3 linked regions of the Arabidopsis thaliana genome follow. The protein of the gene in region 2 interacts with the protein of the main gene of each other region in a pairwise test. Each region holds a gene or a part of one and is shown on either strand. Other genes may lie near its edges. The genes, in order: ROXY2, TGA9 and ROXY1.

Evidence for each region.
Region 1: the proteins of TGA9 (region 2) and ROXY2 interact in a two-hybrid assay, tested with the Arabidopsis thaliana proteins (one study listed by BioGRID).
Region 3: the proteins of TGA9 (region 2) and ROXY1 interact in a two-hybrid assay, tested with the Arabidopsis thaliana proteins (one study listed by BioGRID).

Annotation. Positions count from the first base shown.
Region 1 is NC_003076.8:4,538,124-4,545,239, reverse strand, and holds ROXY2 (Thioredoxin superfamily protein), read right to left. Parts: upstream 3,461-7,116; 5' UTR 3,326-3,460; coding exon 2,903-3,325; 3' UTR 2,655-2,902; downstream 1-2,654. Other genes in the region: AT5G14080 (Tetratricopeptide repeat (TPR)-like superfamily protein), read left to right, coding at 1-1,637, 1,725-1,975; CARAB-AK-LYS (Aspartate kinase family protein), read right to left, coding at 6,247-6,333, 6,431-6,493, 6,576-6,692, 6,775-6,897, 6,978-7,070.
Region 2 is NC_003070.9:2,619,451-2,630,896, forward strand, and holds TGA9 (bZIP transcription factor family protein), read right to left. Parts: upstream 9,145-11,446; 5' UTR 8,833-9,144; intron 8,479-8,832; exon of another isoform or gene 8,371-8,478; 5' UTR 8,281-8,370; intron 8,272-8,280; exon of another isoform or gene 8,058-8,271; 5' UTR 8,002-8,057; coding exon 7,895-8,001; intron 7,419-7,894; coding exon 7,324-7,418; intron 6,823-7,323; coding exon 6,740-6,822; exon of another isoform or gene 6,363-6,739; coding exon 6,153-6,362; intron 5,474-6,152; coding exon 5,435-5,473; intron 5,275-5,434; coding exon 5,215-5,274; intron 4,884-5,214; coding exon 4,806-4,883; intron 4,647-4,805; coding exon 4,598-4,646; intron 4,493-4,597; coding exon 4,221-4,492; intron 4,000-4,220; coding exon 3,778-3,999; intron 2,985-3,777; coding exon 2,842-2,984; intron 2,751-2,841; coding exon 2,663-2,750; 3' UTR 2,410-2,662; downstream 1-2,409. Other genes in the region: AT1G08310 (alpha/beta-Hydrolases superfamily protein), read left to right, coding at 1-167, 241-505, 577-888; AT1G08315 (ARM repeat superfamily protein), read right to left, coding at 1,050-2,027. UniProt on the Arabidopsis thaliana protein: Together with TGA10, basic leucine-zipper transcription factor required for anther development, probably via the activation of SPL expression in anthers and via the regulation of genes with functions in early and middle tapetal development.
Region 3 is NC_003074.8:330,505-337,270, forward strand, and holds ROXY1 (Thioredoxin superfamily protein), read right to left. Parts: upstream 2,569-6,766; 5' UTR 2,419-2,568; coding exon 2,008-2,418; 3' UTR 1,771-2,007; downstream 1-1,770. Other genes in the region: ACR6 (ACT domain repeat 6), read left to right, coding at 95-277, 365-955, 1,021-1,125, 1,236-1,562. UniProt on the Arabidopsis thaliana protein: Has a glutathione-disulfide oxidoreductase activity in the presence of NADPH and glutathione reductase. Reduces low molecular weight disulfides and proteins.

The sequences.
Region 1 (7,116 bases), on a different chromosome or scaffold from region 2:
GCTTGCGGTGAGGATCGGCCGAGAGCTGCTAAAAGTTTCCGGAAGCTCTCGAGCTGCTCGGATATGGAGTCCATTGATTGAACAGAGTCTTCACGGTCTCGGTTTTCGTCACTCAATAAGCCCTTCGCTTGTGGCTCGAGTCATAGACCCGTTTCTGCTGAATCATCATTCTCTTGCTCTCGGTTTCTTCAATTGGGCTGCTCAGCAACCAGGTTACTCTCACGACTCCATATCTTACCACTCTATCTTCAAGTCTCTTTCGCTTTCTCGTCAGTTCTCCGCCATGGACGCTCTTTTCAAACAGGTTAAATCGAACAAAATCCTTCTCGATTCTTCCGTGTATCGCTCCCTCATTGATACGCTTGTGCTGGGTAGGAAAGCTCAGAGTGCGTTTTGGGTTTTAGAAGAAGCTTTTTCAACGGGTCAGGAGATTCATCCCGATGTATGCAATCGTCTTTTAGCTGGTTTAACTTCTGATGGATGTTATGATTATGCACAGAAACTGTTTGTTAAAATGCGTCATAAAGGTGTTTCGTTGAACACTCTTGGATTCGGTGTCTATATAGGATGGTTCTGTAGAAGTTCTGAAACGAATCAGCTCTTGAGATTGGTGGATGAGGTTAAAAAGGCTAATTTGAATATCAATGGCTCAATCATTGCACTGTTGATTCTCCATAGTCTTTGTAAGTGTTCACGAGAAATGGATGCTTTTTATATATTGGAAGAGCTAAGGAACATAGATTGCAAACCGGATTTTATGGCTTATAGGGTCATAGCTGAAGCGTTTGTAGTTACTGGGAATCTGTATGAGAGACAGGTTGTTTTAAAGAAGAAGAGAAAGCTCGGAGTAGCACCTAGGAGCAGCGATTACCGAGCTTTTATTCTGGATTTGATTTCAGCTAAGCGATTAACGGAGGCTAAGGAAGTGGCTGAGGTGATTGTGAGTGGAAAATTCCCTATGGATAATGATATCTTAGACGCGTTGATTGGATCTGTCTCTGCAGTTGATCCAGATTCTGCTGTTGAATTCTTAGTTTACATGGTCAGCACAGGGAAATTGCCTGCTATTCGGACTCTGAGCAAGTTAAGTAAGAATCTTTGCAGGCATGACAAGAGTGATCATCTGATAAAGGCTTATGAGCTTTTGTCAAGCAAAGGTTATTTCTCAGAACTTCAGAGTTACAGTCTGATGATATCGTTCTTGTGCAAGGCTGGGAGAGTCAGAGAAAGTTACACTGCTCTGCAAGAAATGAAGAAGGAAGGGCTTGCTCCAGACGTTTCACTCTATAACGCTCTCATTGAAGCTTGTTGCAAAGCGGAAATGATCCGTCCAGCAAAGAAACTGTGGGATGAGATGTTTGTGGAGGGCTGCAAAATGAATCTGACGACATATAATGTACTTATTAGGAAATTATCAGAGGAAGGCGAGGCAGAGGAGTCTTTAAGGCTGTTTGACAAGATGCTTGAGAGAGGGATAGAACCAGATGAAACAATCTATATGTCACTCATTGAAGGCCTATGCAAGGAGACAAAAATTGAAGCTGCTATGGAAGTTTTCAGAAAGTGCATGGAGAGGGATCATAAAACAGTTACAAGAAGAGTATTAAGCGAGTTTGTCTTAAATCTATGCAGCAACGGTGAGAGAGAACAAATATGTCTTCTAGTCTTTTCCAATTGCCTCATGTCAAGATATTTATTGATTCGTTTGGTGTGTATGTGTGAAGGCCATTCTGGTGAGGCATCGCAGCTGCTGCGCGAGAGAGAACACTTAGAACACACAGGAGCACATGTCGTGTTGCTGAAATGTGTGGCGGATGCGAAAGAGGTTGAGATTGGAATTAGACATATGCAATGGATCAAAGAGGTATCGCCATCTCTTGTTCACACAATATCTTCTGACCTGTTGGCGTCTTTCTGTTCATCATCTGATCCTGATTCCATTCTTCCATTTATTCGAGCAATTGAGAACACATAATTACACCAATAGGCAATTAGATTAGATTCCCCAAATTGTATTTCCCTTTATTCTGTGTAGATTCCTATACTGCTGTAATCAAGATCTCTGGGTGACTTACACGTTACGAGTCGTTTATTGTCTACGTAAGAATTATTCTAATGAGTATAACTTATCTCAAGGTATATATGCTATTTAGTTCCTTCTTTTACTCATCATGGTAATTGATGAGCCCTTTAAAGTTGTAATGGAAGTGAAATGTTTAAAAACCTTCCAAACTCAGATAATGTGACCTTGTAATTGTAGTTTTCTTACAACTTTGAGAAGAAGAAAAAACAAAGAAAAGGTGACATGTGATTGTATGAAATATGAATGACTGAAGAAGTGTTCTCTAATTTGTTTTTTAAAAGCAAAAATGAATTAGGAAGGAATTGATAGCTGTAAAATCAGTGACGTTATTGGATGATCATGTACGGGCTCTTCTTGACGCAACGGTCGGGTCAAAATCACGGATTATTGTTAGTGGGTCTCCACGTAATCTGGAGTGGGGACCCCTCATGAGGTGATTATTTCCCCCACAAGTTAACAGTTATAACGGTTAAGATTTTAGGTCATGAAAATAACCTCCTCGTTCTTGTCTTAGTTTGACCTTTAATTTTATTTTATTTTCATGGCAAATTTTTATTTGTGAAAAATGACCATTAAATTTTGCAAATCAACTGTCAAATTGTAAAATTAGAGATAAGAAAGCTAACAAGAGACATAGCGATTAGTTAACATTTATATATTAGTGTGATTTAAGATAGACAAAGAGCTAAGCTTAAAACAAACGCATCACTCTTCTCTCTCACTGTCTCTAATTCAACACTGGGATTAACCTATTTCTTCTGTCCTTAAAAACCAAAGATAAACCAAAGGTTGATATTTGGAGGATGAGATTAGCACTCATCAGAGCCAAAGAGCGCCAGCATCTTTGAGAAGAGGGACGAGTGAGCCATTGATATGTGAAGCCATCACTCTCTCCATTGCTCCTACCATCTTCCCTCCGATGAACACCACCGGAAGTGCCCCCGGAGATGTGGCGCCACCGCTGGAACAGCCAAGGAGACGGAGGAGAGCTCGGTGGATTTCAACTCCGTAAGGGAGGAGGTCGAGCTCGTGGACGGCGGGGCTGACGCCCATTCCACGGAAGAGACGCTTGATGGCATGGCACATGCAGCAAGTGCTCACGCTGAATATAACCACCGCATTCTCTGCCGCCATCGACTCTATCTTCGCCAGTGTCTCCGACGGAAACACATTCATGTTGTTCATCACCTTACTGTTGTTGTTGTAGGACAACGACCCTCGAGTTTCTGTTTTGTATTGCATCTTTTTTTGTATTCTTAGAGAAAAAGAGAAAGAGAATAAGAGAGTGAGAGAGCGAGAGAATTTGTGTGAGAGTTGGTTGGGGAGAGAGTGAGAGGCATGCAGAGTATTTATACATGGTGAAGTTCTAAATTTAACTGGTAGGTTTTAATTTATTTTAAAATGGCATATTATTAGAGAGGATATGCCAAATGATAACAAAGTTATTGATGTGATAGTCATGGACCATCATGGTTGCTAGCTTTTGTTATGATAGGATGATATTTTTAAGAGACATTTGAGTCCCATTTAAGTATAATTATTTATTTTTTCAAGATTTTACAACCATATAAAAGTAGAATATTATTCAGTTAAATAGGTTAGTAGAATAAGGGAATTGTTGGTAATGGATATATCTATCCTTCTTGTCGGCTTTTTCTGTAATATCTTCTTACACATTTACACTAGCTAGCTAGTTTTTGTCTGCGAAATTGGTCCAATATTATCAAATACAAATGGTCCAATATATGCATATATATAAATACAAATGGTCCAATATTCATGTGTATATATATATATTGTATATAGAGACGCGCCGAATAATAAATTTGATGCTGCCAACATTATGTGAGCAAGTCGTAACGCAGAGATGAGGTCGAATGTTTGGATATATGGCCGGTGGTTTTCCATTATATTCCGTATTCACTTTATGCTCTCAAATCCTCTCTAATCAATCTCTATAAACAAGCTACATATAATACCATTATCAATATGATCGCAAAAGGAGTGGAATATATATTTTGGATTGTGTAATCCAATTAGCATCTCACAAATGTAGCGCTAAACATATATACAAGTTGGAATATCTTTTGGTGATCAAGATCGAATTTCGTAACCATTTTATTATTCTTAGCCCCTAATGGGATATAGAAAATTGGCTAGTTAATGTTATATAAAAAGAAATAAAGGAGTCATCAATATTCTTGAGAATGAACTTTTAAAAGAGATTGTAGTTGCCAACAGTGTTTAGTTGCTTACCATCAGAATGTCAGTGTTCTTGATGTATGGAAATTACAAGTTGGCATGTGTTCTTGGTTTGCTACCATCTTTTTCTTTATATATGATTATTAAATGTTGTGAATTCAGTTAGACAAAAATGTATAGTTCCATATATATATAGTTTGGATTTGTAGATAATTTTACCAAAAGGCTGAGAAAAAAGGTTGAATTTTACAAAGTTGGTCACATGCTTTTTTGGCTTTCATGCATGCTTCTGCCTTCCTTTTGTTATCTGCAAAATTTGCCTTCTTGTTTCTCATGTTTGACCAACCCCTTCCATAAAAAGGAAAAATGCTAAAATAAAAACATTTATCGTTGTCAGCACAAACAACTTGTTATGAAATTTGTAGGTACCCAATCTGCAATATAGAGTCACCTCTCATCGATTGATTATATATGAATAATATCCCTAAATTATTCATATTCTATACATCGATCTATTTGAGAACATTTCTGTTACTTTTTAAGAAAATAAAAGAAAGCTTAAGATATGGGTATATATAGTTTAAGTGAGTCCGAAGAGTTAAATGTCCCTTCATTGGTTTAAGATTTGGTGTATAAACTAATTAAAGCTGATTTATATGATTTGGAGGACTAAATCTTTGTTCTTAAGATGATGATAAAATAACAATCTTTGAGGGATTGCGTTTGTCGGACCACTTTATCATATATTATATGGAAAAAATTGGAAGGCCGTTACAGAAGCCTTACGTAACAGATTTCATCAGATGTGTATTTCTCGTTGACCGGCTGGTCGGTCGGATATGACCCTGGTCAAGTAACTGTTGCTTATGCTTTTCAGGAAGGGTATTTTCGGTATCATTTAAAGTGTTTCTTTACTTTCTAAGGGCATCTTCAAGGCTCAACACCATTTTGGTGTTCAAATTACATCATTTTTAGCACTAAAACTTGTGTTTTTTCCGACCATAACACCAAAAATCATACTAAAAAAAATATATACTATTATATTATCTATTTAAAAGATTTCTTTTATTATTTAATAGTTTTGATTAGTATTTATTACTAGTATAGAATTACATAACATTATAAACATAGTATATTGAAATATATATTTAAAAATACATAAAATTGTAACTATTTTGAGTATTTTCATACATAATAATATAAAAATATCATAACTAAATAAACTATTTCAAGAGATATAATATATTAATGTATCCATTCATTTTTATATTTTATATCTATTAATCATTTGTAATTTTATATTTGTTAATTGAATTTTTATTGATATAATAAGTGAATAGTGTTTAGAGTTGTGAATAGTATCACACCAAATTTGATGTAACACTGTAGCATTACACTAAAATGGTGTGAATTTTAGAGTTCCATTGGAGAGCTTTTAGTGCAAAAATTACACTAAAATGGTGTTTTAGAGTCCCATTGGAGTTGGCCTAAGCCTGCTCCTTCAATGCTCACTTTCTCTTCTATACTGAATTTGTTTTTCTTTTTCTTTTTTCTTCTTTTGTTGACAAGAAGAAATTATGAAAATATACTGATGTCAAAATGAAGAAACTAATTTATATCTTAATTCTTGTGAACAAAATAGTATAATTACCATTGACTAATAATTGTAAACCTTATGTCATAAAACCAAATCTTAAATCCTAAAAACTAAGCTTTAAATCTGAATCCCTACTCAACACACTGGTTATTTCTTTATTTCTTTTTGAGCTTGTCTATGTACTCTTTAAATTAAAAGATTATAGGCTTTGGCTCAAATTATGATGTATTGTATCACAACAACAACAACAACAACAACAACAATGGACAAGAATTTGAAATAGTTCCAAGTCTTGACACATTCTTAGCATTAAACTACGCACAGAAGCAGAGTTGAAGGAGAGAGATGGGTGCTCTGTGTTGCACTAAGGATCGGTCTCAAAGAAGGCGGAGTGGAGAGCCCTCACACATTGCTCTGCCTCTTCATCATTCACTATCAATGAGATGTTTACCTGAAACACACACACACACACACACATATCCCCATTCACTATAACCATAAGTAAACCATATTCATTCACTATCATGTAGCAGCGGATTCCATCTAACCTTAGATGCACCCTGCGAGATCATCTGCACATTCACTCCATTGCTTCTAAATACTTGGAACACCTGTTTTGTCATTCATTCCATTCCCACTAAATTAAAACTTCAAAATTCAAAAGAGAACACAAGACATGTTACTCTCACTCACCTTCTCTAATATGAGTGAGGATTTCTGAACATTTCCTATGAGAGAGATGATTGATCTGCGTTGAAGTAGTTTCACAACAGCAATCTTCTCTAGCTCTTCCACCAAATTATCCAGTTCCTGTTCACACCCAGTCCCTTTAACCAATACCACATATGACCCTCACAAAAGAAACAATCTATCAAAGTCAAAGGAGTATTACATTTACTCGCTGAATTAACTCTCTACCCCAGAGCTTTGCTGGATCCAATGTCAATGATATACTAACTTCACTTGTTGCCACAACATCAACCGATATACCTAAATCTTCAAATGTGGTAAACACCTGCACACGAGACAGTGAGTATGCTTCCAGTGAGATATTAAACAAAGTCGAATAAAGATATCATTATCCAATTATATTACCTTGGCAAGGAAACCATATTGGCCAAGCATACGGGTGCTTGCTATGTCCAACATGGTCACATTACGTTTCAGAACAATGCTGGTTAGCACAGCCTACAAGGAATTAAAGGAGGAAAAGGTCATTGATATTTTGATATAA
Region 2 (11,446 bases):
TCTGGATATGGAGCATCAGATTCAAACACAAAACGTTCGTTGGAAAGCGAAGTTGAAGACATAGCAGAACTTGCAGATCAGCTGGAGTTAGGACCTAAGTTTTATCTAATTGGAATTTCCATGGGATCTTACCCTACTTGGGGTTGCCTAAGACACATACCTCACAGGCAATTTAACCATTCCTGAAACCCTTAAGGATAAGTTGTAAACAGATGAGAAACTATTCCGTTGTCTTTGCAGGTTATCCGGCGTGGCTTTTGTTGCTCCGGTGGTTAATTATCGATGGCCTTCACTTCCGAAGAAGCTAATCAAAAAAGATTATAGGACAGGTATTATCAAATGGGGTTTGAGGATATCAAAATATGCACCTGGACTGTTACATTGGTGGATCATTCAAAAGCTCTTCGCTTCAACTAGTTCGGTCCTTGAAAGCAATCCGGTCTACTTCAACAGCCACGACATAGAAGTGCTCAAGCGAAAAACTGGTTTTCCCATGCTTACTAAGGTCACTCCTAGTTTTCTTCAGTTTGTTGTGATTGATCAGCTTTGGCATGATTATATATCTCTACCTTACAGGAAAAGCTACGGGAAAGAAATGTTTTCGATACTCTAAGGGACGATTTTATGGTTTGTTTCGGGCAATGGGACTTCGAACCCGCGGATCTAAGCATCAGTACAAAGAGCTATATTCACATCTGGCATGGTAAGGAAGACAAAGTTGTTCCATTTCAACTTCAAAGATGCATTCTGCAGAAACAACCTTTGATCAACTACCACGAAATCCCCCAAGGCGGACATCTGATCGTACACTACGATGGCATTTGCGATACGATTCTACGTGCACTATTGCTCAAGGAAGAACAACAAAAGCTGTATAAAATAAATTGATTTGTAACAGATTCTGTGTTTGATTGATTGATTCAGTTCTACAAAACAAAGTATGTTCAAAGTGTACATTGTACAATGACAATATATATGTGTATAATATAAAGTGTTTGAATCAATGAATGTATTAGTGAAACAAAGTAACATTTGAGATATTTGTGCAATCAGCTGCTTCTGCTATTTGGATTTTCATTGAACAAATAATCAAAACGTGAATCGCCGCCGCCATTACCGGAGACAACGAGCTTCAACAGATCAACCGCTTTCTTCCTTCCTTTCAGACTACCATTCTCAGCTACATACACGATCCCTTCCATGGCTCCTTCATCAGCACCAGACGCAACCGCCGCCGCAACTTCAGACCTCGCTGCAGCTCCTCCACATCTCGCCAGATTCAAAAGCGCACCAACGGAGTTCTCTTTGATCCGTAGGCTCGAACCAGTGCAAGGATCTAACAGATCCGCTAGAACGTTAGCTCCTGAAACTCTCCTCATCCCGTCCTCGCTATCTTCGCATCCAGCGACTTGCGCCATAACCGCCGTCGCATCTTCAACGATCCCGCACCGCGAATCTTTCACGATCAGCGAAAACAGAGCCGGAATCGCGCCGAGAGAGATCATCGTCGATCGGTTCATCGGATACAGAGCGATCGCGAAGAGTGCCTTGAGCGAGTCTTTGATCGATCGAGGATGCGAATCTGGATATCTAATGATGTGAATGAGGGAGAAGATGATATCGCGCTTAGATCCGATGATAGGTCGGTAAGACTCTTCGGCTATCAAAAGGCTATAAATCGTAGCGGCGGAGGATTGAACCGCGGCGGGGGAAGTGGTGGTGTCGTGATGACGAAGCGCGTGAGAAAGCGCGTCGAGTAAGCCGCGTGAAGACATTAGGGGTTCGCGAGAGGTGATTGAGAGGTTGAGGAGAGTCGCGGCGGCGTTTTCCTGAGAAGAGTGTGACGACGAGTAAAGAGTCTCGGCGAGGTACGGAATAGCTCCGGCGTCGGCGATGATTAGACGGCTATCAGGATCTTGTTTGGAGATGAGTCTAAGCTCAGCTAAAGCAGCGGCTCTGGTTTGCTCAGAGACAGAGCTAAGCCTGGAGACGATTGTTGACATGGTTCTACGCTTTGCTGTTTCCATTGAGAAGATTTTGATGAAATAGAGAACAATTCTCTGTTTTTTATCTTTATCTTCAAACCCTAATTATCGTTTATTGGATGATGGAGTTACGACTTTTTGTTGAACAAGCCACTTGTATTAATTGTATTAAAGAGTAAACAAGAATGAAAGAGTCATTGATAATTCATCTAAGTGGGAATTAAAGGTCTTAACTTTTTTCTTTCGTCAACAAAAAGGTACAACTTTGTCTTTTTATACCAGAATTGTACTTCTTTATCCAGGATTCAGGAACATGTGTCAGATCTTTATTCCATAAGAAAAACTTGATCGTACGAAAAAAATTCATGCTCTTGTTCTTGTACTTGTAGAGATATTTACGTTTCTGTTTAAAATTGAAAATAATTGAAATTAAATTTCAGTCATCCTCTCCAAAGCATTCGTGAAATTAAATTTCAGTCATCCTCTTGTACTGTCGAAGAGATTCAACATTCATTTTTTTCGTGGTACGTTAATTTCATAGTAGCATAAAACTATAATTAAAAGAAGAATGTCGAAGGAAGATCCTATCTTTTCTCTAGTACAACTTTAAAGGAAATAGGTGAAATTACGACAGACAATGAAACTTGGCCTTTTAGTTATACAAAGTTTCATTCCATTCAGAAATTGGAGAAGTGGTTCCGAGATGACTGAACAATCTGCAAATCCGTCGTCGTTTGACAAGAGGTTTCATCACTCATCAGTGTCCTATTCACATTGATAATTCCCGATATCAAATTCATATTTTAGCATTATTATACGTCTATGAAATGTATATATGCATAAAAATGTGTCTTACTCTCGTGGGCGTGACAACCAAAGGGAGCTAAGAGCTCTGAGCCGTCCATAGTACTCTCCGATGACTAGGAAACACCGTGCAGCTTGTCGGACGGTCAAGATCCGCCTCAGCTGGTGAACGGTCTGCTGCCTCAAGTTATCAGCCTTCATTTAGATTAATAATAGAAAGAAAAAGATTACAGTTAGTAATCACATCTTTTGACATTTTAAGATTATTTCAATATTTCTTTTGGTAATATTATTAAAAACTAATAATTATAATTGCATACCTACTTACTACCTTGGTGGGCTAATGGGTATTACAAAAGTCAATACATATCAATAACAATCAATTTGATCATAATGTTTGAAAACAAGAAATTTTTTTAAAATATTTTTGTTGAGTTCAAAACAAAACATTGAAAGAGATGGAGAATACTTTTAACATATTCTCTTTGTCTTTTTTTCAGCTATATTATATATAAAAGGTAAAAACAAGTTGGTGAAAGAAATTTGGCTCTTGGAATAATTAAATCAAAGACCAAAACAACATATAATTATTATAGAACATCAAATGTTGCTTTCACGTATTGTCTGTTTCTGGATTATTTGTTTTTTTTTCAATTAGATAATTTAGCCAGCACATACGTTTGTTCATATATGTACGCAAAATATATGCACGTATTTCCGCATTTTTAAACATTTGTACATCTAGTATATATATAAAACGTTAAAATTTACCCAATATATTTCTAAAAAATATATTCGAATTCCTCTCTAACTATAAACCAAAATACGTTGCAAATTTTGTTTAGTCAAAAACTATCTACAGTTATATAGTAGGTCAAATTTTGTGTATATTTCACACGGTGTTTTTTTCTCTCGTTTGCATTCGTTTGTAATTATTGTTCGAGCAAATGAAGTAAAAAAAAAAAAAAGATAGGTGAGAAAATGGAACCTGGCGGATAAAGCCTTCGAGATTAGAGATCTTTCCGAGAGCGACAGCCATTTGTTGCATTCCGTCAATGACTGGAGATGCGGCGAGAGTATCGATGAGAGATTGCTGAAGTTGTTCGAGGCCTTGCGAGAGAGCCTCCTCTGCTTGTTGCGACGAGTGTTGTAGGCTATATATTCCCATCAGTTGTTGCTCCGTCAATAGATCCATTTGCGACACCAATATCTAAGATCACATCCCTTTCTTTAGTTAATCATGATTCCACAACTTTTTTATCACACGCAAATAATTAAACCGAAGAATACTCATTTCTGTTTACATTTTGCAGCAATGTTTCAGATTTGTTGATGTAATTTACTAACGTGAATATCATTTTGTTTTTCAAACGCAAAACCTAAAACTTACGTTTGTAATCATGGGGTAAAGTAAGGAAGAACAAGTCGAACCTTGATTAGGTCGGATGGACGGAAACCAGCCATCCAAATAAAACAACGTTCGGCTGGGGACATCCATGTCCCAATGATGAGGTGAAAAACATCGGCTTTCGCTGCCACGGCTTTTAATCGGAATATCTCATCAAAATGAGCAATGTAACCGTCAACGATCAACCTTAAATCATTGTCAGATAAATGAGCCTGAAGACCGGTTCGAATCTCCGACATATGCCGGTTATCATCCTCTAGCCATCTCCCATATTCCATGTCAAATATTGCAGCTCCTACGTACATTCGATTTTCAACATTTTGTTAATAATAGTTTAACCATTATTGTACTTATTTTAATACAATAATACATTGCAATTGGTGTTTTAGGTTTCAAGTACCGGAAGTGATGTTAGGTCCTGGTGGTCCACAACCACCCATGAACAGCCCCTACCATCGACATAAACAATATATTAATTTCAACAAACAGACATTATTAATAACCAATGAACAATTGAGAAACTTAGCAAATGACAGGTTTTGACAAATTTAAAAAAAGATTTAGCAGAATATATAGGATTATAGGAATATAAATGATTCAATTTCAACCTGAGAACGAGCTCGCTGAAGTTCTTGCTCCAATTGGGAAAGCTTTATCCTACTTGATTCTAGCTGTTGCACATACGCCTGCTCAAACCATATGTATATGCATTTGTTATTTTCATACTAGTATCATTACATATAGAATAACAAGAAATGCGGAACTTATACGTTCATAAATGAATTATAGAAGACTGGTAAATGGTAGATAAAGAAATAAATGCTCATGTAACAGCGGTTTCCAAGAAGAATAAAAGACACCACTGCGTATGTTTTACTAGTAGCAATAGCATTATTGTAATTCTATGCAACAAATTATCATTTGGAAAAAGTAGCAAAGAATATATAAATAGGTCAAAAAAACAAAAACAAATGATAATAATTTGAGGTGAAAAGTCAGGCAATTATATGGTCATACCTTTTTCCTAAGACGGCTTTTGCGAGCAGCTTCTCTATTTTGGGCCAAACGTCTCAACGTCTGCATAATCCAGATTTAAGAACATTTAAACAAGAAGTTAACGAATTAATTCAGGTAAAAAAGGTTACTAAAAAGTAAGTACATATATAGGAATGGATATGTCTCCTCGGGGGAGTCAAATAAAATGTATAGGAAATGATGATGATGAAAGTTAAAGTACCTTAGCATCAAGCTGTTTGCCTGAAGTTGTAGCCTTCCTCTGCAATGTCAGAGAACAGAGATGAAAATAGAAATTCATTCAGTGGAAAGAAAGTAAACATAAATTAAATTGTGTGAGTGAAGTCGACTCATGTGATAAATATTTAAATACCATTTACACACAATTAAAAAAACAGCATTATTAAATACTTTTTTTTAATGTAATATTAAATCTAAGCAATATGAACTCATTTAGGGAATATATGTGTTGTTAAAGTAAACATAGAAATGAGGATATGTAATCATGTAGTAAAAAGTAAATTATAAAAACAATAATAACACCTAGGAAGATTCTTCTGCTTTATTCCGCTTTTTGGGGATTTCATTTAATAATTTGTATTTTAAATTTGTCTGTTTTCATTATTTTATCAACGATTCGAGAGGTCAAAATTCTGAATTTTCTCTGATCCGTTTCCTTTTTGGGATCTGTGTATGTTTTTGTTTTATTGGAAAGATTTGTTAGGACATAGACATATATGAAAAAGCATGTGCATGCATATCTATCAAATGACAAGGAGAGAGAGAGATAGGCTAATGATATACATACCATGTACATGCACCAAATTAAGCATGCATGTTTCATGATGACTCCAAGTACGTACCATGCATATATCTCTTTCTAAAATTAAATTTTAAAAAGTGATGATGATGATGATGATGATGATGATGATGATGAGTACCTTATCTTCCGAAGGTTTAGGAGGAGCTAAAGTTCGAGAAGTGGAAGGAAGTCCAGATGTTGAACTTGAGTTTGCCATGTTATTATGATGAGGTTGAAGCATGAGATGATGTTTGCTACTCATAGGAGACTCCGGTTGTTGACTTTCAGCTTTGCCGGAGAAATTAGCCGATCCTGAATCGCTGCTCTCTCCTCCTGACTTGGAACTCTCCTGCAATACATATTCAACATAATCATACTCATCATCATTAACGTATAAGATAATTAATAAAAAGTCAGAAAAGGGATAATCAATGTAACTAAGGAGGAATTGACCTTAGCGTATATAATTTGACAAACGGGGTACTATAAGTTTATGTAATATAAAATAAAGTCAAGAGAAAGGAATGGAGTAATTAACTACTCTAAAATCGCTATCAGCTTTTGAGTTGAAAGAAGCAAAAATAAGAGATAGTAAGAGGAACAAGAAAGCTGAAACATGTATATAAAAGTGAGGGTAAAATGAAAATATAAGTTTTAAGTTTAAATAGGAATGCCGAAAAAGGAGAAAAAAACAAGAGGAAAGGGTCAAAGAAGAAGAAAGGGTACAGTAGGAAGAGTTTGGTGAGTTCTGATTGGCCACGAAGGGAACATCTCCAGAGTCGTAGCTCCTCCTCCTCCTCCTAATAAAGCTGCAATTTTACCCATCATTACATTTATCAGATATGTAATGTTCATATGTAATCATGTAGTATGCTAGCTACTTATTAAATGTGTGCATGCATGTATATGTGTTTTTGATGTAATTTAAGTAGTACTACAATATATTCTACTTAGAACTAACTACATCATTTATCACGTGGAATCTATATATAACATGACACATTTTACTAATAGTATAATTATGAATATTTTGATATAGAGGAAGTTAGGGAGTTGGTAAAAGATATTTTCTTCTTTTCTTATTTTCTAAATAAAGAGAAGAGAAATAGAAAAACAAGTCACGCCATCCAAGGCTCTCTTTTGCCTCCGTATCATCACCTAAACCTATCTAAAGACTTGTTCAGACTACTCTCAGCTTTTTATTTTGTTTTTTCCAGTTTCAGTTTTTTGCTCAGAATTTTAAAAACTTTATTGGAGTTTGTTAAGGAAAGCTCACGTCATGAAGATTTGAGAGAGAGAGGGGGGCTTACGTGGCTTGGCTTCCTCGTTCCTATACTTGACACCTTGCAGAACAATTGCTTCTTCTAGCTCTCCAAAATCGAAACTGGACGATCCATCTTGGTTACTGTTTCATTTATTAATAGTATTGTTTAATTAGTACAAAGAGAATATTCATCATGTGTTACTACAACTATACAATCAGAAACCAAGAAAAATTGGAGACCAAAAGGAACAACAATTAAATTAAAATATAAATACTTGATTAGAGGGTCGCATTTTGAGTTAGAAGATTAATAAAGACGGTCGCATATAATGAAAGTTTACACAAAAGCTAAAGCACATATAAAACCTATTTCGGATGATCCATAACACATTTTTTAGTTTCTGTTTTACCTATAGATTTCCGTTGACCATTTCATATCTCATAAATGAAACCGTATAACATATCATAATACTACTAAGAAAATGACAAATTGAGAATAAACAAAGAAAACCCATATAAAATTCAATTAGAGCTCAATATTAAGATATGTAATATGAATAAAGTTGAGCTTTATGTATATGTAAAGAAGAAAAGACGAAGGAAGATTTGTTAATTACATGAAACCAGAAGATGGATGATTGTTGTTGAGACCATGAATAAGTGAATAAGGAAGATGATGATTGTGGTTATGGTTTGTAGCTTCGCTCATTCTATGGTTCGCCATCTCTACTCAAGAAAACAGCTTCAATTGATGATATCTCTTCTTGATTAGTCTCTTTTCTGCAAAACACATTAAATCTTGAAATGATGAAAAAGATGATAATCACTATTGAGAGAAGCTCGAGTTAAGAAACACAAGAGAGAACTAGCTAGGGAGAGGGAGAGGGAGAGAGATTGCAAAGTCTTATAATTAATTCTTGATTAGTTGATCAAATGATTGGAATTTGAAAAGAAAAAGCTAGTTGATGATATGAACATGAAAGTAAGATATCTATGTGTTTACCTTTTGTGATGTTTTGCTTTTGGTGTTTGAGAACAAAGAGGAGAGAGAGAAAGTAGAATGGAAGCTTTCTCGTCAAAGGCTTTTTTATGGCTGAACAGAAAAACAAAAGAGGGTCCAATCTTTTCTCTTTCCGAGATACATATACAAAATTATGTGGGCGTGTATATATTTGTAGTTGGATAGAGAAATGATAATAAAGTATTAGTAATTGACTAATGTATAGTATCATTACTCTTTCTCTCTTTATTACTATTCTCTCTATACTTGTATGTGAAGAAACCTTTGTGATTCATCATCACTCTCTCCTTTTCACCACCTTTCTCTATCTATTTCCATAGTAAACACAAATTCCACTTGCTAAATTTCAAAATTTTATTGAAGAAAACAATAAAGAAATATTGATAATTTTTCATGGTAAATCAGACGAAGATCTTGTCCTTCCTAGACTTTGTCTCCAGGCTATATTTATGTGTTGCATTTTTTTTTGTTTTCCAAATAATAATATTGGGTTCAAAAAAGTTGTACAGAAAATTGAAAATTTAGTTGACTAACTTTATAGCTGTCAAGGGTGAAGCTAGTACTTGGCAATTGATCAGATGGAGTGGACGATCTCTATTCATACACAAACCTGAAATGTAGAAGTTAAACAGAAAATCAAAAGTCTAAGAGTGCTTAATTAAAAGAGCTTTATCCTTGTTAAGAAAAAGAATGGAGCTTTATCTTTGGTAAAGAATAAAAGAGCCTTATCCAATATGTAGAAGATAAATAAGATGATTGGATATAAGATTAATTGGACCGATCACAAGAAAATGGAGGTAGATTATTAAGAAAACTATCGACTTCTCTAGGTAGAAAAAAATTGAGCGAGAAGAAAATTAAATGAGAGTTTGTAATTTAGTCCATAAAATAAAAATAGAAGAAAGAGAGCAGAAAAAGAGGAGGAACCCACTAGAATCACTGACTCCTACTCCACAATCTCTCTCTCTCTCTTTGTAACCGCCTGTTTGTGCTTATTGGCTCTTTTTCATCAAATCTCTTTTTGGGCTTATTCACGTACACATTTTTTCAATAATCTATCATCTTTTCTGTAGTATTATTCATCGTATTCACGTACATGCCTATATCAAAATACGTATCTGTATATGTGAAAGTAAAGTGGTGAAATTTGCATAAAAGAATTGGGTTTCACTCTATCATCTTAGCAGCATGGATCATGCATGAAGTTATTTTTTCTAAGTAGTCTGTGTGTTAATCTAAAACCAAAAGAAAACTAACAGGAAAATTCTAGAATTATATCAAGAATCTTTGAATGGGCATGATATATACAGCATATACTTTATATTTTTGCCAAAAAAAAAATGATATATATATCTTTAGTCTAGTAAACAAATATATACTATAACTAAATGATCGAATACAACTCCCCAGCTATAGTTTAAGCTAAATTATATATATTATTTGGATGATCTAATGAGTTTGTTATTGGAATAGTACTAGAGATAGTGATGAAATAATGTTAATACACATAATCATAAATTCATAATCAAAGACAATGCATTAATGTGGGATAAGGAATGTTTGTTGATTTGTGTATGTATATTAAAATAGCAGAATCGAGTGAGTTTCTATTTCTAAACTACAACTCTTTTTGTTAAATGACCTTTGAGACAGAGAGAGGGATAAGAATAGTATGAATATAATACGTCTACTTATATGTAACACACTATACATAATTACAGATTTTTTTTTAGTTTCATCTTCAGTCTATAACCTTTTGAAAGCCGAGAGTGATAATATGTGAAACAGTTTCTGAAAGTTTTTTCTTCTTCTCAAAAATTAACAGCTTTTAGGCTTTAAGTTTCAAATTTGGATATAATAGAACTAGAGCAACTTTCTCTAGTCGGTTAACCTAACATACTTAAGTATTGAATAATTAACTATTTTGCCTCTACCAGTTCAACCAAAAAAGCCTTAGAATAATGACAATTATGTAGACCAATAAGATAAAATTAAACGGCCTTCTTGCATTAATCGTAAATAAATATAGAAAATAGCATTAAAATTATCAATAATTATTGTAAACATCTCAATCGAGTGTTATTTAAATTGATTAGTTTGGTATTATCCTATAATTTTGTTGATCGGTCAACATCCACTCCCTGTCATCACCTAAATCCTAATGCCACATTTCAGATTCCTTTCCTTTATTAGAAATTGTTATATGCCTCCTTTGATTCGTATAGCTGTTTTAGTCAATGCAGCTCTCTTGCAAATCCACATTTGTCATGGCTTTATTCCTTTAGTTTGTGTCATAATGACCCCCTCCGAATTGAGAATTTATTTTTCACGGCTCTTTAGATGCTTTTTTTGGGTTCGGTAGAAGTATATAACTCACGGTTAAGCTTTTATAGAATCTCAATATTAATTTGTCCATCAAGGCATCAAAATAATGTTTAGATTACCATCTCAGCCCAATACCGGCCATAATCTTATATGGAGGATGCATATTATTATGTAGACATCAATGATCAATCACTTTGGGACAACTACTCAAGCTCGTTTTCTAACGAATTGGGATTTTTGAATTACTTACTCAAAATAGTGTAGTCGGTTTTGGTCTAGCATGATCTAAAAAGTCCAACAAGCCGAGAGGCCCAAAACCCTAATATTCAAAACTTCGTGGCCTAAATGTTTCATCCTGTGTAATTTTCTTCAACAACCATTATCTTGGGTGAAAATTGTCAAATTTGCATATTTTCCATTATTGTCATTGACTTTCTGATTCGGTAACAGTCATATGATGTAAAAATGGGCCACATCCTTATTTGGTTTGCTTCAGGCCCATATTCGTTTGGGCTGTTAGATTGTAGCAATGGTACAAAGATCTGCAATTGATGTAATTTAACCTTGGTTAATGGTGTAATTTTATTTTATTTTGTTGGGGTCAAACTGAAAGCCTCAAAGGATAAGAGTTTTTTTCTGTTTTTTTTTTTTCACACTTTTTTTTGTTTTGTTAGAATTCATAAAAGGGTAATATAAACTTGTTAAAAAGAAATACAGTAGATACGTCATATATACAGAAAAAGTAAGAGAGACAGATGTTATCAAATAGGGGGGAGTAAAACCCACTCTAATACTACTTGTTATGCTTAAATATAAAAATGAA
Region 3 (6,766 bases), on a different chromosome or scaffold from region 2:
ATCTGTCTCTTCAAATTGTTCAAGTGGTTCTGTACCAAACAAAGAGATTTTGAGAAAACAGAGTTCCCTGTTTGTTTGTGGTGCTAAATAAAAGGTTGATAGTGTGAACAAACATGGGACTCTATTGGAAGTAGTACAAGTGCTCACTGATATGAATCTTGTGATCAAGAAAGCTTACATCTCTTCCGATGGAGGTTGGTTCATGGACGTTTTCAAAGTCATCGACCAAGATGGCAATAAGATCAGAGACACTCAAGTCCTTGACTATATCCAAAAGGTTTCTAATGTATTTCATCACTTTTTTTCTTTCATTTTCAACAGGTTTTTTTCTTTGTGTAAAACGTTTGTTGAATTCATTGCGCAGAGGATAGAGAGCAACGCTGGGTGGTTCATTCCACCTTTGAGAAGCTCAGTTGGTGTAATGCCCACTGACGAATACACATCCATTGAGCTCGCTGGAACTGACAGACCCGGTCTCTTGTCTGAAGTATCTGCTGTTCTCACAGACCTTCACTGCAACGTTGTGAACGCTGAGATATGGACTCACAACACCAGAGCTGCAGCGGTTATTCATGTCACGGACAATTCAACTCATTCTGCCATTACTGACCCGATTCGCCTTTCCACCATCAAGGAGCTGCTGTGCAATGTAGTGAGGACAAACAGCGGCTCAAGAGCTGCGAAAACAGTCTTCTCTTGTTCTGATACACACAGGGAGAGACGGTTGCATCAGATCATGTTTGATGATAGGGACTACGAGGGAGTCAAAAGAGCAAGGACATCGGCGTCAAGGCCCAGTGTCACACTAATGAACATTGAGAAGGATTATACCGTTGTTACCATGAGGTCCAAAGATAGACCAAAGCTTGTGTTTGACGTAGTCTGTACTTTGACTGATATGCAGTATGTGGTGTTCCATGGCATGGTCAGCACAGAACCAGTGGAGGCTTATCAGGTAACTACTCAACGGCCGTCTGTTGGGATCTCTCTTCTAACAATAATATGAGTGTTTTGCTGCAGGAATTTTACATCCGTCATGTGGATGGACTTCCCATAAACTCAGAAGCAGAGCAAGAACGTGTCATACAATGTCTGGAAGCAGCCATTGAGAGGAGAGCATCGGAGGTAACCAATTAGGAATGTGAAAATTCTCTGTCTTGGCTCAAATTACATTCTGTTCTGCATCGATTTCTGATATACTCAAGACAGATTGTGCATATGAAACATACTTTCAGGGTTTAGAGCTGGAATTATCAGCAGAAGACCGAGTTGGTCTTCTCTCAGACATAACCAGAACATTCCGAGAGAACAGCTTAACCATTGTGAGAGCAGAGATATCAACGCGAGAGGGTAAGGCTAAAGACACGTTCTACGTTACAGACGTGACTGGAAACCCGGTTGAATCAAAAATCGTGGAGTCAATCAGACAACAGATAGGAGTAAGCAAGCTGAAGGTGAAGAAGAAGGAGAAGGAGCATTGCTCTGTTCTTGGTACAAGCAGGCCTTCGCACGAAACAACTACAATGGGGTATTTGCTAAGTAACATCTTCAAACCCAAGTAGCTTCAAGCTTCACCTATCTCACTCATAGTCATAGAGTGTGTGTGTGCTTTGTATAGGTTAGACAGAGTAGGGCATCATTTAAGCTGATCGTAGCGATCCCCTCTCAACAAGTCCCTTGTGTGTAAATTTGTGTGAACAAAATAACAGGAACTGCCTTTGAATAGATACGGCGTCAGTTAATACCGTTGATTAATGGATCCAGGGGACATTAATAAAGATGCAAAGTGTTTACTATTATGATTTAATGAGAGCATTCGAAAGATCAATAAGAGATGAAGAAGAGGAAGACAGAGAAAGGTGAGCTTAAAACAACTCTCTCTCTAATTACAAACTATAATCTAAAACCTGTCATTACAGCCATTGACTAGTTTCCTAATCTTCCTCCACCACATTCTCTTACAAGAAAACTTCAAATAGAAAAGAAAAAAGAAAGCAGAGGAAGGGATCAGAGCCAGAGAGCGCCGGCGTCTTTGAGAAGAGGAACGAGAGAGCCGTTTATGTGAGAAGCCATGACTCTGTCCATAGCTCCAACCAGTTTACCGCCGATGAAGACGACCGGGAGAGACCCTGGAGAAGAGGAGCCGGAGCAGCCGAGGAGACGAATGAGGGCTCGCTGGATGTCGCCGCCGTAGGGGTGGAGGTCGAGCTCGTGGACGGCGGGGCTGACGCCCATTCCTCTGAAGAGACCCTTCACGGCGTGGCACATGCAGCACGTGCTCACGCTGAAGATCACCACCGCGCTCTCAGAAGCCAGGGACTCTATACGAAGCAGACCAGTGTCAGCCACCATCCCCAAACCGCCGAATCCTAAGCTGCTCATCTTGTATGATCCCCACGATTCTGTCTGGTATTGCATCTTTGATATCTCTTCTCTTTCTCTTGTTACACTTTTGTTTGGAAAGAAACTAGATTAAACACGAATAAGAGAGAAAGAGGGATTGGCTAAAGTTTGTTGGTGAGAAGAGAGTGAGAGCCATGCAGAGTATTTATAGAGGCCTACTACACCTCTGAGTCTAACTCTGTTTTCCTCTAATTATTAGTATTATTGTTTCTTTCTTTATTATTTGTGTATAATAACATGACCTCTATTTACTTCTCCATGAAAAAAAGAAAAAAAGTAACAAAACATATGAATTAAAACCGATGACATCAAGATAGTGATTGCTGTTGAAAACAAACACCGATAATAGTTATCGGAATAATTTCATTTTTTTGTAAAAAAAAAAAAAAAGGCAAGGAGAGTTGAAGAACAGGCTTTTATCAGAAGGGAGTTGTTGGTAATAGACGGCTCCGTCTGTCCTTCTTGTCGGCTCTTACCGCTCTCACCATTAATTTTCTTACCACTTAATTCTCTCTTTTTCTTTCTTTGTATTTTCAGATACATGATCATAAAGTAAGAAACCATAATTTCCACGTAGATAAGCTCCCTCAATCTGTACAATATGGATTTTGGCAGGGTTTTTCTTTTATTCCATTCTACTCTGTAAAATATATAATTCCATACGACCGAGTAATCATCAATCCAGCAAATGTGTAATCATCACATCATAATTTGTTAAGGAGTCAGAATCTTATGTTTCTTATCCAGATTAATAGCATCCTCCTTATATATATAGAAAAAGAATTATGACTCGAGAATTATGATGTGTACATATTTTATAAGAACAGCACCCATGAATTAATTTGGATGGGTTTAATTATAACAATATTAAAATTTGAACAATTTTATATAGAAAAAGCCTTTTTTTTTTTTCTTCAAAGTTTACAAAGTTTGTAGTTTGTGACATGCTTTTGGCTTCCACGCTTGTGTCCTTTATACACGAAATGCCTTTTTTGTGTGTCTCAGGTTTGAGCTCCACAATAAATTAAATCTTAAAATGAGATTTAAAACGAAGGATTGATGGAAGAGAAGATTTTATATGTATATTGAATATAGTAAGAGAAGTCCGTACAGTTATGCTCCCTCTAGCTGAAAAAGAAAGTTACTTCTTTTAGTGTTTAAACTCATGTATTTCTTTTCTGGAAAAAAATCTTTGCATGAGAAATCGTAAAAGATAAATAATCTTGTCGGATTGTGGTTGTCGGATCGCTTTACCTTTGATTTTTGATTTTTTTTTTAAAAATCTAGTTTTCCTGACAGAAGACTTACGTAACACTTGTCATACAATGTTTGATCTGTTCAACCGATTCTCCGATATTAACCCTTTCGAGTAGCGTATGTACATGCTTTTCAATAAGGGTATTTTGAACATTTCTGAAGTTCGTATTCAACGCCTGAAACTTGAAACTTTGAACATTCCTTATTCCTTTGTATATTGATCTAGCTCTTTTCTGTTTTTGGCTTTTTTTTTTATTCTTCAAAGTTTAAATATGTATATACAAGGCTAACATTATACAAAACTTTAAAAATCTTTCGTTTTATGATTATCAATAAAAAGATGATTTTCTTCTTGTAAAAAAAAACATTTTAGAGAGAAAAAGAAAAAAAAAAAAGAGATTTTGATCGATCGGACGGGTAGGGTTAGATGGCAGGAAACGAGAGCCCTCTGGCCTATATTAATTAGTACAACAAAATATATAAATTGATATCAAAATAAAAAATAGAAAGAATACGAGCGTGATGCTATCTTTTCAGCTTTATCTGGTCTTTGCCATTTATAAATATCTGTGTGTATGTCTCTCTTTGCACAATATTAATGTTGTGCTTTGTTATAAATATATCTTCATTTCATATTTTTATATTTTCAAATTTCGTTTTTTTTTTACCTCTTACGGTGAAACAAAGCCGATAGGGAGATGAAAGGTGGGGTTTGAACTAAACCCTAAAATAAGCTTTAGAGAGTTCTATCGTCGAAGTATAATGGTCCGAGTCTGATTCCAACACCTGACCAAGATATGTCCCTACGGGTTATAAAACAATGTATATATTATATATATACAAACAGCTGGCTCATATATATCTGTAATACACTGATACAGAGGAAGGTACATATCTGTGCCTATGTATGCGCGTGGTGTAGCTGTATATGCTATGGAACATGTATATATGTTATAATGTATATTGAATTTCCAAAAAGCTTTAGTTAGTAAAAAAATAAATGGAAAACGTAAAAACAAAAAAGAAGGCAAAAGAAAAAGGAAGATATCGCATGTCGGTGTCGCGGCGAAAAGGCGGTGAGGGTATTGTGGGAGTGCTCACGAATTCCCCTAAAAATCCTCATTTATAATTAGTATATAACCCTAAGCCCATGCAAACTGCAATCCCACTCATCTTTATCACTAACACTAACTATCTTATTATTTCACCAAAAGATAAAAGTATTTCATCGAGATATACGTCGATATGTTGTTCTGCATGCAGGTGCATGGCCCTCTATTATTTTTTGTCGACCACAAGTTTTTGTCTGTTTACAACATAAGATTTCACTTATTATTGTTTTTTTATTTTAATTGTTTGTTTATCGCACTGATAGTCTGATACACACATTCACGAACTGCGTTTATCCCTCATTGCCACCTAATAATTAACTTAGGCTTCACAACATTTGTATATCCCAATTCATTTATTATATACAGTTGTTTACCGCTACATATATGTGCATAGTTAATCTAGGAAATTAATGTTCTAAGCTTTTATCGTAGTTAATATTGGAACAAAAATATATAACCGAGTAACAAAAGTCGTAGTAAATAGTTTTAAATATAATATTTAACAAAAAAATATAGTATAAATATAATAATGCCGATCGACACCAAAGTTATAACTATATATCAATCCAAGCCTCCTCATTCAGAAAGCTTTCTTTTATAAAACTGAAATATTGTTTAGTATAATTAGTACTAAACAATGGTCAAACTGAATATTCACAATTGTGTTTAGTATATTTCGAAGTAATTTATCGTGTAAATAAAATATTAATTGTATATATCGTTGTAAAATATAAGAGGAACAAAAAAAGAAATGGAAATAGAGTAAATAAATCAGTGATTAAGGAATGGGATAGACACAAATGAATCATACGGATTTAAATTAGAAAAAAAGAAATTCAAAATAAGAGAGAGGGTGATTGACCATCGGGAGGAAGAGAGGGACATTGGCAACAAAGTGGTAAATAGAAGTAGAATTAAGAAGACAACAACAATAAAAGAAAAGAAAAAAAAGAGAGAGAGAAGAAGAGATGAAACAGAGTTTTGTGCCCCACGCGAGCCGCCTCGCCTCCCCCTATACCCTGAACCTTTTTTTCTCTTTCTCGCTTAAACAGACCTAAACCCAATTAATCATCCCTTAGCTTATTTATTAGGGATCATATTGATACGGAATTTGCAGTCCCCACTGATAACTGAAAGGCTTTTATGTAGTACTAGTCGTATTTACGTGAACACATTATTCTTTGAGTATTATCTTCCATACAAGAGGAGTATATTAATAGACTTTTACCTTAGCACTCCGAATGATCCTCGACTATTGTTTATTAATACACAAAACACTCCTCTCTTTTTTTATTCGTACACAAAACACTCCTCTCTTCTTTTATTCGTTATTTTAAGAACTGAATTGGTGTTCCTTTAAATTTTTTTTAACACGTTCCACGCGTACTTTTTGTGTGTTTACCTTTTTTAATTTACTAATTAATAATGTAGTACGTACTATATAGTTAAAGAAAGAGGGCAAAATGGTAAATAAGAGAAGAGCAGCTTTAAGAAAAGAAGAGAAGCAATATTAACTCTCTCTATATATCTTAAAGATGTACTGTAATAAATAAAAATAAAAGAAGAAGAAGAAGGAGAAGGGGCCGTTAAAGGAGTAACCGACAAGACGGCTTTACTTTTTCAGGCTTTGCTCCTTTGATTGCCTCATCTCGCTGCTGACGTTATCCTCCCGTTGACTGTCTACGCACTCCCTTTTTTTTTTTTTTTTTTTTCCCTAAATATATTTACTCATTATTATGTCATAGTTTTACAAGGTCGAGGTTTTGTAGTTTTGTTAATGCTGCAAATACTACTAATGTATACTAATGCTGCAAATACTAATACTTTTTTTTGTTTGTTCCATTTTTTATTGGTATATAACTATAAATTATAAGAACGTATAGAGATGTCTAGCAGTTTTGGTCAAATAATTTGTAATATTACGGAGTATATAATATAGAAATATATGGTACGTTGTAAATGTAATGAAGGGATATATGCAAAATAGTACTAAT